Linked DNA regions of Alligator mississippiensis. The protein of the gene in region 2 interacts with the protein of the main gene of each other region in a pairwise test. Links are inferred from orthologs where the notes say so. Each region holds a gene or a part of one and is shown on either strand. Other genes may lie near its edges.

Evidence for each region.
Region 1: the proteins of SIPA1L2 (region 2) and AP3M1 interact in binary tests that used the Homo sapiens proteins (3 or more experiments, as listed by UniProt). The two-hybrid records come from large-scale screens. The link is inferred for Alligator mississippiensis from reciprocal best matches to the Homo sapiens genes SIPA1L2 and AP3M1.

Annotation. Positions count from the first base shown.
Region 1 is NC_081829.1:26,754,959-26,763,213, reverse strand, and holds the start of AP3M1 (AP-3 complex subunit mu-1), read left to right. Parts: upstream 1-5,100; 5' UTR 5,101-5,215; intron 5,216-6,355; 5' UTR 6,356-6,511; intron 6,512-8,255. Other genes in the region: ADK (adenosine kinase), read right to left, coding at 4,722-4,777. UniProt on the Homo sapiens protein: Part of the AP-3 complex, an adaptor-related complex which is not clathrin-associated. The complex is associated with the Golgi region as well as more peripheral structures.
Region 2 is NC_081824.1:151,045,936-151,053,502, forward strand, and holds the start of SIPA1L2 (signal-induced proliferation-associated 1-like protein 2), read right to left. Parts: upstream 3,611-7,567; 5' UTR 3,474-3,610; intron 1-3,473.

The DNA.
Region 1 (8,255 bases), on a different chromosome or scaffold from region 2:
CTTGGAGAACCCAGAAGGGAAGTGGTGCACAAGAATAAGGTGTAGAAGTCAAGGGCAAGAAGAAGAGCAAGGTGAAATTAAAAAAGCCAGAAAAAAGAAGACAAAACAAAAGTGAATTGCTAACCTGCAGATGTGGTTTACTGGAGTTTATTTAATATACTTGGAATCTTCATTCATTTGAAATAAGTTGAAAAAATAAATTACATTTTAAAATGCATGTAATACTAAGAATCCCCCACCACCCACCCTCTAAATACATTAATATTATTACACAGTTACCAATACAACTGTGGATTTTCTTATCTGTACCAAATCAATCAAGGTCTAATTTCAACCATGGGGATGAACATTGATTCTTTCTACAAAAAAAATTGAGGAAAGAATGCGTCAGTGTGTGCTTGATAACTGAATCTAAAGAGGAACAGTTGCTTAACTGGAGAAAACAATATTGCACTTCGTACTTTTAATGATAAGCATCTCCTGCCAAATGTAATGCTTTCGCATTCTCCATGTGGACAAATCAATTTGCTCAGAAAACAAATCATGAACAGACATCATGATCATCCAATCAATTCAGGAGCTGTTGAGCCACCAGAGGAGCATAATAATGTAACAGAGATTACTATAAAACAGAAAAAGGTTGGAATTTACACCTAAAATTTAAGCCAATATTATAACAAGGTTGGAGGAGGATTAAATTTCCTGCCACTCCACCACCAGCAGAGCTCAATTATGCTGTAACAAGGTTACCTGGTACATTGTATCCATTGTGTGGGTAAAATCTTACAAAATCATCTTTGGAGAGTTTATCAGTTGTTACAGGCATATAGGAATAGCTTCTTTAAAAAAAAAAAAAAGAAAGAAAAAAAAAGAAGAACTTTATTAATGAAGCATGGGGTTACAAGCAGATAAATGTACCTGCTTCCATGTTTATTTCTCTCTAAATATGTATATACTGCTTAAGCTGAATGAAATGCAGTTTGGTTTGGGCTATGTAAGCTTGAGGTTGATTTTCCAGCCTTTCCTTGTTTTAACAGCATATTTAAAGAGTGTTGACATTAACTGTAGCTTTTCTAACACAAGTTTATATTTTTACTTATAATTTGTTTTTTGTTGGGTTGGTTTTTTGGGGGTTTTTGCTGTACAGCTATATTTTTCCTCTTCTATTATCTGCAACTGTCCTTGCAACTATTATTAGACTTGAAAAAGTCACTCAGCTGCCAAGAAACAAGTTACTGATATATGCTGCCTTCTGTTTTTACACTAATGTCACAAATTGCTTCCATAGGAATAGCTAATTCAGCAGAGCCAAGACTATGTAAAGCCACTATTCTCATGATACTGTTTGAGCTCCTGTGCCTGACACTAAATTTTTCAATCAATTAATAATTACCACTGGATCCGGCCATTTCAATTTCAAGTCATTTTAATTGATTTAATTGATGACAGTTGTATCTACCCAATATTTATTGCCAAATCTAATACAAAAGTCCTGAAAATACATCTAGGCAATTCATGCTCTTGTTTTGCATATGCTTTGGGCTACCTCTTATTTAAGTTAAATAACAAAAAAAACCCAAGTTCCAGTTTTAGTGTAGTGCTAATCAGGAGACTCCTCAATGCAGTAGTGTTCCTTTTATAGCAATGAATTATGAATGATTAATTATTAATGTTAGCAACACTCTAAAATATGTAAAGTGCTCTAAAACAAACTTCCTTGGGTGAATTTGATATCTTTTATTAGACCAACCCAAATGGTTGGAGAATAGTTATTAAGCAAGCTTTCGGGTTCAAAAACCCTTCGTCAGGCTAAGGACGCTGCAGCAGATGCAACAACAAACTTTGCATGCGTTAATTAATTATCTAATTAATTAATTAGATTAACTTACTCTAGCATCCTGGCTAAATGAGAAAAGATAAGAAGTGTCTACTAGTTATTTCATTTGTTTTTACTTCATATTTTTAAACACCCAGAGAAAACAAATATTATTTAATGATCAAAATATCTAATACAAACAAATTAGAATAAGAATTCAAAGGTAGATTTGCTCTTAACACTACAAGCCAGATATGCAGGGCAGAATCGCAGTCAGAAACTTAAATATCTTAAGTAAATCTTGGAAATCATCAGCCCCACCTTGCCCTACAACTGTTAGCAGCCTCCATCCCCTGCTCCTGTCTCAAACATGCTTTCTACCATCCTGTTTCTTATGCATGAGGATAACTCTCTATCATAATTTGCAGGCAAGGTTCTTTGAGTAGATGTGATATCTTTTATTAGACCAATTAAGCAGTTGGACAAAAGTTCTCAGCAAGCTTTTGGGTTCAATCACCCTTCTTACAACCAAAAAAAAAAAAAACAGCTATCATCATTTGCAAACTTGTCACATTATCTGTTTTAAATCTTTCTTGAATACTTCTCTTTTTCTGCCATGCCTACAAAATCACTCCCATCTGGCATTGGTTAAGGAAATGTCCAGATGAGACTTCTATTCTGATAATGTTATCAGCTTCATTCCTGCATTATTCACCCATCTCCAACGTGTTTACTTGCTCTGTCCATTTTTCATCCTATCTAACACAGGGAAGTTTGCTAGTGGCTTCAGCCAGGCCATAATTTCACTCCTAGAGTGAATAAAGACCATTTTCCTAGTTACTTATCTGCACAGTAATCTGTACAATAATGGATTTCAGTCTTGACTTGGGTTTCTGGAGGCTACTATAATAAAATAATAACACAAAAGGGGTATGGATATCAGCTACATGCATATATATAAGAATCACAGAATCATAGGAAATTGGGGTTGGAAGGGAGGTCCTCAGGAGGTCATCTAGTCCAAACCCCTGCTCACAGCAGGTCCATCAACAACTACCTCATCCCAGCCAAGGTTTTGTCTGGCTAGGTCTTAAAAACCTCTAAGAATGGAGATTCCACAACCTCTCTGGGTAGCCTGTTCCAGTGCTTTACTACCCTCCTAAACTTCCCTTGCTGCAAGTTGAAACCACTGCACCTTGTTCTGTCATCTGCCAGCACTGAGAACAGTCCATCTCCACCCTCTTTGGAACCACCATTCAGGTAGTTGAAGGCTGCTATTTTATCCCCTCTCAGTCTCCTCTTCTCTTGATTAAATAAGCCCAATTCCCTCAGCCTCTCCTTGTAAGTCATGTGTCCCAGCCCCCTAACTATTTTTGTTACCCTCCACTGGACTTTATCCACAAATTATTTCCAATTTATTCACATCTTTTCTGTAGTGGGGTCTCAAAACTGGACACAATACTCCAGATGTGACCTCACCAATGCTGAATAGAGGAAAATACATCTATACATATATATATCTGTCTACAGCAGGGGCAGGCAACTATTTCAGGCAGAGGGCCGCTTACTGAATTTTGGCAAGCCATTGAGGGCTGCATGACAGGCAGCCAGGGGCAGATAAATACTAATTTTCTAAATTTTTTAGGGGCCCCATGGGCCAGATAGAATGGCCTGGCAGGCTGTATCCAGCCTGCAGGCCGCATTTTGCCCACCCCTAGTCTACGGGGTTCAAATTAAATTTCAACTCTGGGGAGGGGGTGGGGGAGGGCGGAGGGGAGAATCTGAAAAAATAACAGAAATTAAACCAGTTCATTGATTAACAAGTCCATCTAAGTGAAGGAGCAATCTGATCAAGTTATGATCTTCGAATCTTACAGGGGAGCTCTTGTCTCTTATGGGTGGGCTCAGCCCTGCCCCAAACTCCCCCTTAATTTGCACCCTGTCTATCAATATCTATCTATTATTATCTATATCTATCTATTACATTAAAGAAACAGATTCCCACAATGCAATTTGCCCTAAAACATATTCATAATAAGGTAGTGTAAGAGTGATGATGTAGCTATGATGGTTCAGCAATTATGTGAGAGAGAAGGATTTCTTAGGGTGATATTTTTTATTGAACAAACTGTGTGGTAGGATCAGAGGTTTCCCAGGCTAGAACCTTGTCTGGTTTTGCATTTTTCCTATCTGACAGAAGGAGTCTGGCTAATGGCTTCACCTAGGTCATGTCTAGCATGGGAAAGCTTGTCTGACTCTACTGGATAGTTGGTCCAATAAAAAAATACCTCCCTAAGAAGTCATTGCCTCTCAGATAAGAAGTTCATAGTTACATCTAGGGCCTCTCAATCCAGGTTCCCTAGAAGCACTGTGCAAACAGTGAGTCGAAGGGCTCCCCGAAGGCTTGGGGAAGGCAGCATCGTTTGAAACCCAGTTGTAGCGTGAACGGAGATGCCCAGCTCTGGGCTTGTGCCAGCCATGCTGGGCACCCCAGAAGTGACGCTCTCCTAGCTGGCAGCAGCAGCTGCGCACAGATCCGTTGTGCAGGCTAGTGCTTGTCTTCTCCTCTGCAGCCCTTGAGGGAAAAGCTGTTTTTTGGGGGGCCTGGGTGCTCTTTGATCTGCTCTTTTGGCCCCGTCTTTTCTCTGCCCCCCACTTTGATGGACCTGAGCAGATGCACGGGCTTAGGTCTGTGGGCACTTGAGCCTCAGCAGGCATCACTGAGGAACGCGAATCATCCACACCCACGTGCAGCCAGGCTACGCGTGGCAGAGGCAGCGCCCGAGATCCGCTGCCGCCGCAACCGCGTGGGCTCGGAGCCCCTGCAAGCAGCGACCGCCCGCCCGCCCGCCGGCAGCGAGCCGCTCGCGTTTGCCCAGGGCACGTGCGCCCGCCCCCGCGTTACCTCAGCCGCTCGTGCTCCCGCTTCGGCTTCTTGGCTCGCGGCTCGCCTGCTGCCATCTCCGCACCCGCGTGCGGCAGCCCCGGCTCGGCGCGATCTCCCCTCAGGCAGCAGCGGGGCAGAGTCGGCTACGCAAAGCGCCTGATCCGGGCCGGGCCGGGGGCGGGACGCTGCCGCACACGTGCGAGAGGCCTCCCACCGCCCCGCGGGCAGCACGGCTCCAGGGGCCGCCTAAGGCCGAGCACCCCGCGCCCTCACGCAGTCCGCGGAAGCCGGCGGCAGGGCACGCGTTTGCTGCAGGCAGTCACATAGTCACCTGCGCCGGCCGGGGAGGAGGTGCGGGGTGGGGGCCTCGGAGCCATATTTGCCAGCGCTGCGGGGGGAGCGGGAGCGGAGCCGGGTCGGGCCGGGCAGGGCTAGTGCGGGCTCCGGCGCAGGTGAACGGGGTCGCGCGGGGAGAGCCGGGGCCTGGAAAAGGAAGGGTGTTTTTTTTTCTGGTAGGTGTTGAAAGCTGATGCTTCTGGAAATGACCTCCCTTTGTCCTGCCCGTGTTGCTCTGAGCCTGGAAGTCCCGGCCTGGCTCGTCACAATTTATTACTTCATTAGTTAATGTTCTTGGAGGCTATAAAACGCTCAGGGTGGCTGTGCTTTACTGCAGGGTTTTGGCCGTCTCCGGACAGAGGAGCGTGTGCTCGGGATAACCATCTGGGAAGTAGCAGGGAAAATTAACAAGGGCATTTTATGTTTTCTGTTTATAGACGTCTGCCGCATTATGCGCTTTCGTTTTGGCTGGGAAACCTTCCCTTTGTCCCTTTTGACTTAAAAATGTTTCCAGCTGGCAGCCTAGACTTGGTTTCATGAAGGAATTTGACATTGAAAAAAATATTGCATCTTAGTAATGATGTGGTTGAGAGTTAAGGGGTGTATCTAGCTGGTTTTCTTGGTCATGGTGTGAAAACACTACTTATTTATTAACTGGGTTGGTCCGGGTTTGTTTCTTAATGGAGTCTTTTACTGCCGTTGGCTTAAAGTTAAATACGGAAAGCCTCTTGTGCTGTAGGAGAAAACAAGAGACTGCTGTGTTAATGCTTCCTGTCTCTTGCAGTTTTACAGTTGTGTGAACCCCTATCCACATCAGATTTATTTGAGATGTTTAATGGTAAAGCCTCAGCATTATGACTAAGTTCAAATGTGCAATGTTTAACTTTAAAAATATTAAAGCAAGAGACTCTACATATAAAAAAAAAATAGCCTTAACTTTCTGATTATGTGTAAGTAGAACATTTTAAGTATGGAAATTGAGGCTCTGATGTTGAATTCAGACATAAGAGAATGCCTGAATTGTTGGGGATCGTAGTGCATTTCAGTGTGAACTGAGACTTAAAGGTTTTTAGGTGTCTAGAGCCTTTTGCAATTGATAGGAGTAAGATGCTTACAAAAATTTTGAGACTTTAGGCCTGGATGTCTGAAAGTTCATTTGAAGAGTATTCTTCAATTGGTGGATCTGCTGTAGTTGTCTAAACCAGGGGTGGGCAATTATTTCGGGCGGAGGACTGCTTACTGAGTTTTAGCAAGCCATCAAGGGCCGCATGACAGGCAGCCACGGCAGATAAATATTAATTTTCTAAATTTTTTAGGGGCCTCGCAGGCCAGATGGATGCGACCTGCCAGGCCATTCTAGTCCATGTTTTGCCCACCCCTGGTCTAAACCGTGTGAAATGGGAAAACCAGACTTCTATGCAAAAACTTAAACTACAATTTTGGTAATAGCAAGTTGTTTCATAGTAATTCAGGTAAGAACTTCCTTATCTTTTATTAAGTATTTTTTTTTTTATCATCCCCATATGGATTTCACAGGAGCAAGATGGCCCATGGTATCTAGATGGCAAGGAAAGGCCTTTTTTTTCCTAATTTGCAAACACTTAAGGTGCCAGCTTTTCTAGAGACCACTAAATGCATACCCCTTGCCTTTTAAGTCTAAGTTTCATGTAGCCTGTGATGTGGGAACATAAAGTAAACTAAATCTGTTGCCTGCTATGTCTTTAGAATTCTTGGCTTTGTGTTTTGGCATGTTAACAAACCAAGGAACCATATCTCCCTTGTTAACACTCGGGTTGTTTCTCTGAAGGCTTGTCTGTTAGGAACAGGGAGAAGCAACATCAAGGAGAACCCAACTTTGAGCTACCCAGCAGCAGCGCAGTTCCCTACTGGCTGGAAGCTATACCCTCAGTGCAGCCAGGAAACAAGGGGCTAGGGAGGAGTGACAGCAGCAGCATGAATGCAGTTCCCAGCTGGAAGCTGTGCTTGTGCCCTAACCAGGGAGTCAGGGGTTAGGAAGAGTGGTGTTAGTGTCGGCTCCCAGCTGCCTGACCCAGTCATAGGCACAGGCAAATCCCCCTTGCTGCTGATGTGCCACCAAAGCCACCCAGTGCATGCTGGACTTGAGATGAGTTGTTCTGGCCTGTGGCTTTAAAAAGTTCCTAGCCCCTGGTTTATGGGGTACAGTGCTCCTCTGGGCAAAGGGATTCTAGGTTCCAGTCCCTATTCCCAAGGTTATTGGCTTGTTGTTATTATTATTTAACAATGATATTTGCATGGGAACTGCAGGAAGAGTCCTGGGTGCTGGGATCAACCCAGGTTTTCCTTCCATTAGTGAAGCGGTGTAACCACTAGTGTACAGTGCCAGTCTCTCTCTTGTTCTCTTTCTGGCCTCATATCTCCTGTGATGGATGCCCAGTGGAGAGGAGGAGGAAGAGAATGTTTTACCCAGCTTATCCTTTAGTGTGGCAGAATATTCTCCTAAGAAGGGGATTTGAATCCCCCAGGGGACCTAAAATTCAGGGTTCCTGATTGCGGTGCAAGTACTGTGATATGTTGCGTTTAAAAAAAATGTTGGCTGTTGTAGCCCAATGTTTTTGAGCTAAGTATGAGTTAAGCATGCTCTGAGCACATATAATGCATCTTTGGGGATGAGTTCATCCTTGCATACCCCATAATGCTAAATGCCTCACATTTGGCTATGCTCAGAAGGTAAGTGCAGAACCTTGTAATTTTGCAGTCCAAAATGGAAGCATGGTTTGAACTTGGACATCTTCTGAGGTTTTGGAGCTTGTAGAGCAGGGCCAAACTTAATTACTGTTTGAAACTTGGCCAGTTAAATTATACCAAAATCTTGTTTAGACTCCTGCAGGACCATACTGGATCTTGACTCACCTGGCAGGTTTGAAGCAGAGCCAGGAGTGGAACCCACATCTCCTGAATTTCTACCTAGTGCCTTAGCTACAAAACCATCTCTCTCTGTTGTGCTTTCACGTGCAGCTTTGTTTATCTCAGCAGGCACCTGCATTGTTGCAAGTTGCTGGCATGCAATATAGCATCTTGCACATTGCCTGTGTATACTGCTCTCTGCCTTCTTTTATAACCATAGTTGTAACTTTTCAGTACATTCTAGGTAATGATTAGTAACAGTGTAAAGTGGCATCATACCTTTAATAGTAATATATCTGTTTAAGGGTTTACAGTCATTGGGCATCTAAT
Region 2 (7,567 bases):
AAACAAACAAACAAACCAAAAAACAACAATATAGGGTGATCTGGACAAATGAAAATGATTTACTTACTGCCTGTGCAGAACAAACTGATACTCTACACGTTAAAATTCTGGGTTCAATAACTGACTGCTGTGTCCACTACAAAGCTGAAACTGAAAACTGGCTTGCTTCAGCTCACTTGTAAATGTCAAGCCATAAGGGAAAGAGAAATGATTTTGCCTGTTTTGACCATTGTTCTGCTTAGTTCCTCTTTTGGCTCTGCTCGTTCAAAACTGTGTTTCTTCATGCACTTGGGGAATGGCACACATCAATAATTAATGTCTGCCAAAAAAAGAATCTGCATCCTATTTGCTGTCAGACTCAAAACTGAAATACTGATTCTCCTTGGATAGAAACATTTTAAAAACACCCTAACATAGGTGTGGTATGTGAATACCAGTTATGAGGGATTCTGTTTCTGTTTAAGCTTAATTCTAGGTTTTATGTTATACTTCGGGTATAAGAGAATGCTGTGCTCCATCATTGATCAAAATGTCACTGATTAAATGGTGTTCCACCCTAACAAGTAGATATTCCTTCATATTATATCCAAGAGCCTCATGAACTGTAAAGACAATGTACTGATTGTGCAAAACCAAGACAATGGATTCAGAGACCTTTCTGTGATCTTGTTTTATATGAACACTACATACATTATGAATCAACTGTTGTGGAACCTCAGTGATGTTCAAATATCCATAATGCATTACAATCCTCGACAACTTAAACATCTTTTGCATAAATAATAAAACCCATTTCAAAGCGGGATTCTAAAAGCCAAATCTTCTAAAGACAGTCTGCAAATATGGGGTCTATTCCTGCGTGCCACTAAGTTTTGAGCACATTAAACAAAAAGTAAGACTGGGCCTAGGATCAGCCTAGCAAGTCTGATGCTCTGTGCCTTAAATTCAATCAGAAAAGTGTCATGACAGAACTAAAAGTATAACGCGAATCTAATAACTGCAGAATTTAGAATCAGAGCTAAGTTAGGCTAAAAGGGACCGCCAGAGGGCATCTAGTTCAACCCCCTGCCTGAGGCAGGATCATCTCTATCTAAACCATCCTCTACAATCCATGTAATATCAACATCAACTCCTGGGAGACTAATCACCCAGAACTGCCCCAAATGGAGGATGAGTCTGCTGCAGGGATCGCAGTACTTTGAAATTGCATGACAACAGGAAACGGAAAAGTAGGACCAACAGAAACAATGTGTCATGGACAAATAAAAAAATCCAGTACCACCCACCCCACATGGAAACACATATACGAGCTGCATTAGTCTGTCAATCCTGGATGAACTCCATCAGCCATCTTCGACCACAGAGATAAAACGATCATGGAAGACCATCATCCCTGACTATGAGGGATTGCTAAAGAACATACAATGCATAATATAAACTCTACAAAAGACTACTGTCAACACAAAACAGACCCAATGTCCTAACCTGCCACAGACAAAGGTCCCAATGTCCAGCCTTTATGAAATGTCATCAATATATGCTCAGGAGGTCCCGGTTAGAAGAATCTGAAGCTGAAATCTGTCTACCCAGCAGTCTTTGGAGAAAACATCATGTCGCACTTGTTCATTCCAAACAAAACTGAGGATGATCTTCCTTTGACCAAAACCAGGTTTTAATATTGAACTGCATAATGACAGCAGTTTCTTAACCCACCCTACCACTTAATAAAAAAAAAGATTGGGGGGGAACAGAAATTCAGGACAGAATCAGAGAGAAGTTGGGCTGGAAGGGACCTCCAGATGGCACCTAGTCCAACCCCCTGCCTGAGGCAGGATCATCCCTATCCAAAACATCTATCATCTGAACTCTGCATAAGACTCCCATCACCCTGGACACAACACAGACCTAACAACGCCCTAACCTGCCACAGGTAACTCAAGGGAGCCACAGCTGCCAATGCCCTGCTGTAGAAAAAGGTTAAATGAATAAACAGCATGATTTTTTTAAAAACACCATCAAACTATCAGACAAAGGGGTAACTTCGATGGCATTGTTTCCAAGTGGAAGATACCTGTCCTTATACCATAAAATCATAGAAAATGAGGGTTGGAGGGGACCTCTGAGGTCATCTAAGCCCAACCCCTGCTCCAAGCAGGACCATTCCCAGCTAGATCATCCCAGCCAAGGCTTTGTCTACCTGGTCTTAAAAACCTCCAAGGATGGAGATTCCACAGCCTCTCTGGGTCAGTTTCTCAACCCGTGCAAGCCAAAAATGGGTTCTAAGAATATATGAAAGGGCCATGAACAAACTTAAAAAATGGATTCTCCTTTAGAGGACAAAAATATTTGGGAAACTGAAGCACTGCCCTTGCATGCTGCAAGAGTCCCAGCCTGAGAGGGGCTACTTGGGGGGGAGGGCAGGCTGGGACCTTCATGAGTGAGGGGCACTGGGGGGAGACCGGCCCTCAATGTTTACAAGTGGGCAGGGGGAAAAAACAAAAGGTTGAGAGCTGCTGCTCCAGGTGACCTGCTCCAGTGCTTCACCACCCTCCTCATGAGAAAGTTTTTTTCCCCTCAGATCCAACCTCAAACTTCCCTTACTGCCACAATGCTCGCCATGAAGGGCATCCTTGGATTTCTAGAGTCTGCACAGATCTCCACAGACGTTTCTCTATCCAAACGCTGCCCGGCAATTGGAGATGCAGACTCAAAAAAAAAAAGGAAAAAAAGCCAGGCTCCCTAGACTGGCCAGAGCAGGCAGGACACCAGGATGGAGAGAGAGAAGCAGCGGGAAGCGGCAAGCAACAAGTGAAAAAAAGGACTTCCCGAGCCGGCTGGGAAGTCCTGCCGGGCCCGTGCGGAGGCAGCTGGAGCTCGGCGAGGGGAGAAGAGAGGGGCAGAGGCGGGCAAGGACGTGCAGCCCGCGGGCAGCGCCCATGCCTGGGCCAAGCCGGCCATCTAGCGACGAGCTGCAGAAGTGAAGGCGCACACAAAAGAGGGAAGAAAGAGGCGGGCGGGGGGTTTACATAAGCCATCCCCCTCCTCCTCCTCCTCCTCCCAACTTTGCCGGGCTCCCGCACCGCGCTGCCCCCTCGCAGCCCCGGCCCCAGCCCCGCGGCGCGGGGAAGCCCCCGGCACCCCCGCCCCGGCCCTGCTCGGGGAAGGACAGAAAGTTGGCGGAGCGGCGCCAGCGGCCCGCGCACCTGGAGGTGCTACCCCGCGCCGGCTCCCACCCGCCGCCGTGCCGAGAGAAGCATCCCCGCGCAGGGCGCCGGCTGCCACCTGCCCCCCGCCGCCGAGACAGGTTCCCCCGGCCCGGGACGCTGCAACCCCCACGCACTAAGGTCGTCCCTTACAACTCCTCCCCTCCCCAATGCACTCGGCTCTCCCTTTGCAAGTCCCCATGCACTGGGGTCCACCCGTGCAACCCGCTCCCCACGCACTGGCGCAGCCGGAGCCGCCGCGGACTTTACCTGCCGCGCGCCGCCCATCACCCCGGCCCGCGTCTCCCGCTGCTGCTCCCGCTGCTGCCCGGCGCCAGGAGGGAGGGGGCAGCGGGACCTGCCGCCGCGCGTTTACTCGCCCTCTGTCTCGCACTCTCTGCCTGTCTCCCCAACACGCGCGCTCCAGCCCCTCCCTCTGGCCCCGCCCCCACACTCTCTCCCCGCCCTCGGCAATTTCCTCACTCGCCATTGGACGCCAGCGCTGCCACTTCCCAGCGGCGAAACCACGCCCACCTGCCCCTGGCCCCGCCCTTGTGGCATGATGTGGGGGGGGGGGTCTTGTTGGGGGGACCTAGGCAGGAGGGTGCTGGGATGTAGATGGGCAAGGCCCAGGAGGACTCCGGGGGGGGGGGAGCAGTGAATATGTTGAGGGGGCTGGGGGCAGGGCTTCTGAGGAGAGGCTGAGGGAACTGGGCTTATTTAGTCTGCCAAAGAGGAGACTGAGGGGGGAATTTAATAGTAGCCTTCAAATCCATGAAGAGGGGTTTGAAAGAGGATGGAGCTGGGCTGTTCTCAGTGGTGGTGGATGGCAGAACAGGGAGCAATGGTCTCCAGTTGTGGCAAGGGGAGTTTAGGTTAGATGTTAGGAAAAATTTTCTCACTAGGAGGGCAGTAAAACACTGGAACAGGTTACCCAGAGATGTTGTGGACTCTCCATCCTTGGAGGTTTTTAAGACCCAGCTAGACAAAGCCTTGGCTGGGGTGAGCTACCTGGGGATGGTCCTGCTTTGAGCAGGGGGTTGGACTAGATGAGCTCCTGCGGTCCTTTCTAACCCTAATTTTCAAGGATTTGTACCTGCACCAGAAGCCAAAGGGAATCTGTTGGGCACTTGATGCTGCAATCTCAATTGGCCTCTCCTTAAAGACCCCGGACAACTCTGCCCAAGCCCACCTCTCGGGTCTCCTATGTGGCTGCTTCTTGTCCCTTCCACCCTCCTCCCATATCCATGCCATGGCCTCCTATTCCAGTTTTCTGTGCCATAAGGCACTGAATGACCTTCCAGTCCCAGATACCCACCCTGGTCTCATTCAGATACCTTGGAAAGTCCCATTTCTTCTGTGAGCCCCACAGGAGAGCAGCAATTATAGATAGCCAGGAATAAGAACTGGTGGTACTTCAAAGACTCAGTTAAAAAAAAAAAGCACCCATGAATGACATGCATATGCAAGTGGAAGTGACATTTGTGGGGAGTAAGGAGCTGTGACAACCCCAGACTGTGTTGTTGGAAAATGTTTTGCTTTTTGGTGCTGGTCTGTAGTCCATGTCATATATTAGATTTGCACCCTTTTTTTCAGAACAATAAAGCTATTTCTAGTATAACAAATGCATGCAAAACTGTTCTCCCAAAGTGCAGAATGTGTCACTCTTACACTGTCACCTGGTTGGGGCCTGAAATGGTCTTTATCCTCTGTTTTGAAGAGCGCAGAGGAAAGTGTTTTTGCTTCACGAATACTACCATGCATCCAAACTTCATCCACCTCCACAAGCATCAGTCAGGTGTAATAGCTGATTCAATCAACATCTGTTTTTCGCTTTGACAAGGTCACCACCCTGAATTTCCCCACTTTTATTATCAGGATCAGTTAAGACAAAATGCCAAACATGCCATCATGAGGCCAACCTTCCCAAGATGAGGTTCCAAAATAAGTATGAGGTTAACTTTCATCAAGATCCTTGCTAAGATATTTTCTCATCAGCCACTTGAAACAACAAGGAGGCTTGCAACATCTTTTAAACAAAAAACAACCAACCAACCAACCAAAAAAATCCCCAACACACAAAAGCAAACCCACTGTGCTACCTTTTTTCCTGTCTCCGTGTATGTAACTTTCTGGTTGTACCAGTCTCAGGCCTTGCAAGAAGGCAGCATGTTAACATTTACAAGTATCCTGCTGTCTTGTAAAGTTCACTTTACTGTCTACCCTTCCTATAGGAACAGAGCAAAAGGGAATAGTGAAGAAAAAATAACACACATACTCCCATCATTCAAAAGACACATGGTAGCTCATATTGCAGTTTGCTAGCCTTCATCATCCCTTTTAGATTATTTTAATATCAGAAATATATCCCTAGCCTCTCATTCAGTAGATTGAACACAGAAAGCATGTGAACAGAGGGGAAAAACACACATGCACGATTTACTCCCAAGCACTGACAAATGGTATATAAATTACTTAGTATTTGGATTCCTTTTTTAATATTATTATTTTTAGCCAAAGTGACTATTGCGGCTTAAGCAACGGAAGGTTTGTCTATCAAAACAAGAAAAAGGAACAAAGAAACTCAGATAAAAAAACCAGCAAGTGAAACAACAAGGTTTTCCATTATGACCATTTGATAAACATTGTCTTTCTTGGAAGTATAATTCCTCTAAAACCCTGGCTAACCCAGGAAATCTCACATCAAGAGAAACAATTCTCAACCCAGAGAATTAAGATAGATTTAAATGAAAGACAAAGCTCAGTCTGCAGCATTTGCTGTAATTTCATTCTAGCCCATAGTCTCATTACTGTAGTGTTTTGGCTACTTATACCTCTGAGTCTCACTCTGGAAACCAAGTGCCTCTCTAGACTTTAAGCTCTTTATAACAGTTATTCAGTTCTTGTTCCTTGTGGCTCTTGCTGTCACTCAGTTTCCTGATCGAAGGGGAAGTTATGGCACCAAAAAAAGACTTTTTTTCAGTCCGTCTTAATATCCCCTCAAGGAGTTCCCTCAATCCCTTTCCAGCTTTCCTTCTCTTATTTGCTCCCCTTCCCCGTCCCCCTCCCCCACTCAGATTTACCACTTGTTGGTCGTTTTGTCTCAGGACTGAAAGCTCTCGACATCCCGTCATTACTGCTCCCAGGTTGACAAATGTACATTAATACTAAGTCATGAAAAATGCTCTCTGGCAAATTTTGTTCTCAAGCTACAGCACAATTTGACCAAGAATTTGTTTCCCACGATCTTGCCAGGCTGAGAACAAGAGGCTAAAAGGTCTCAGAGTTGCATTCTCCACTAGGGCTGGTGCAATGTGTTTCATTGGATGTCTAACCTTATCTGTCTCTGTCTCTGTCTTTGTCTCTCTCTCACACACACACACACACACACACATATATATATATATATATATTGACTGCTGCGTGGAGCAAGGAAAGTTAAGAGCAGCTCTATTTAGACAAGCCTTGACCAAGAATGTGCTGTTTCTACAAACCTCCACTAGGTGTCCTCTACCAATTGCTGAGCTGTATTAGAAATACAGTACTGTATTCAGGCAATCTCCCTATAGGATTTTAAGTTTTCTCTAGCTTTGTTTTGCTTAACTGGTCTAGCTAAATGACTCATCCTACTGTGACTGGTTTTATTTTTTTCCCCCTGCCTACTACATCCCAGTGTTGCTGAACTGTTGTTTTACAAGCTTGGCTATTTTACATGTGAAATATTTTGGATCTGATATAGCGATATGCTGACATATCATAACAAACAGCACCGTTACATCCTCTAAGCTAAAAACAGCATTTGACATCTGCTTGGTGGGTTCTTTTTATAAGATGTATTTCATAAAGCTTATTGGATACGGAACAATTTTTCCCACAATATTTACTGTTTCACCTATCTTCTCAAAGGAACAATATGCTAAGGAAAATTGGTTGAAAGTTCTAGGTTTCCTATAAGTTCAGGGGCATTCCTATATCCCTCATAGCCATGTTATGAAATCCTTGCAAGTATGCACCTTATGGCCTTACTATTAACTCCTTCCTGCACTTAAAGTTAAGTGAATCCTTCCCCCCTCACCCACCTTCAAGCTCTGCAGAGAAGAAGTACAAGGTCAATATGCCATTTCAAGTCTATTTAATAAGGCTTTAATTTGATTTGAGAGGTCCCTGGGCCTTGTGCTAGTACTGTGAAAGTGAGGGAAGTTTCGCCTTTAAAAAGCATACCTAATATAGCAGTGCAACCAGGTAAAAATATTTGTTAGCTGACTGAATGTGATAAATGGCAGGAGCATGGTATATTAGCAGGTATGACAAGATGCATACAGTATACTGGCTGTGCTTAGGCTGTTTTCCTAAAATTACACATT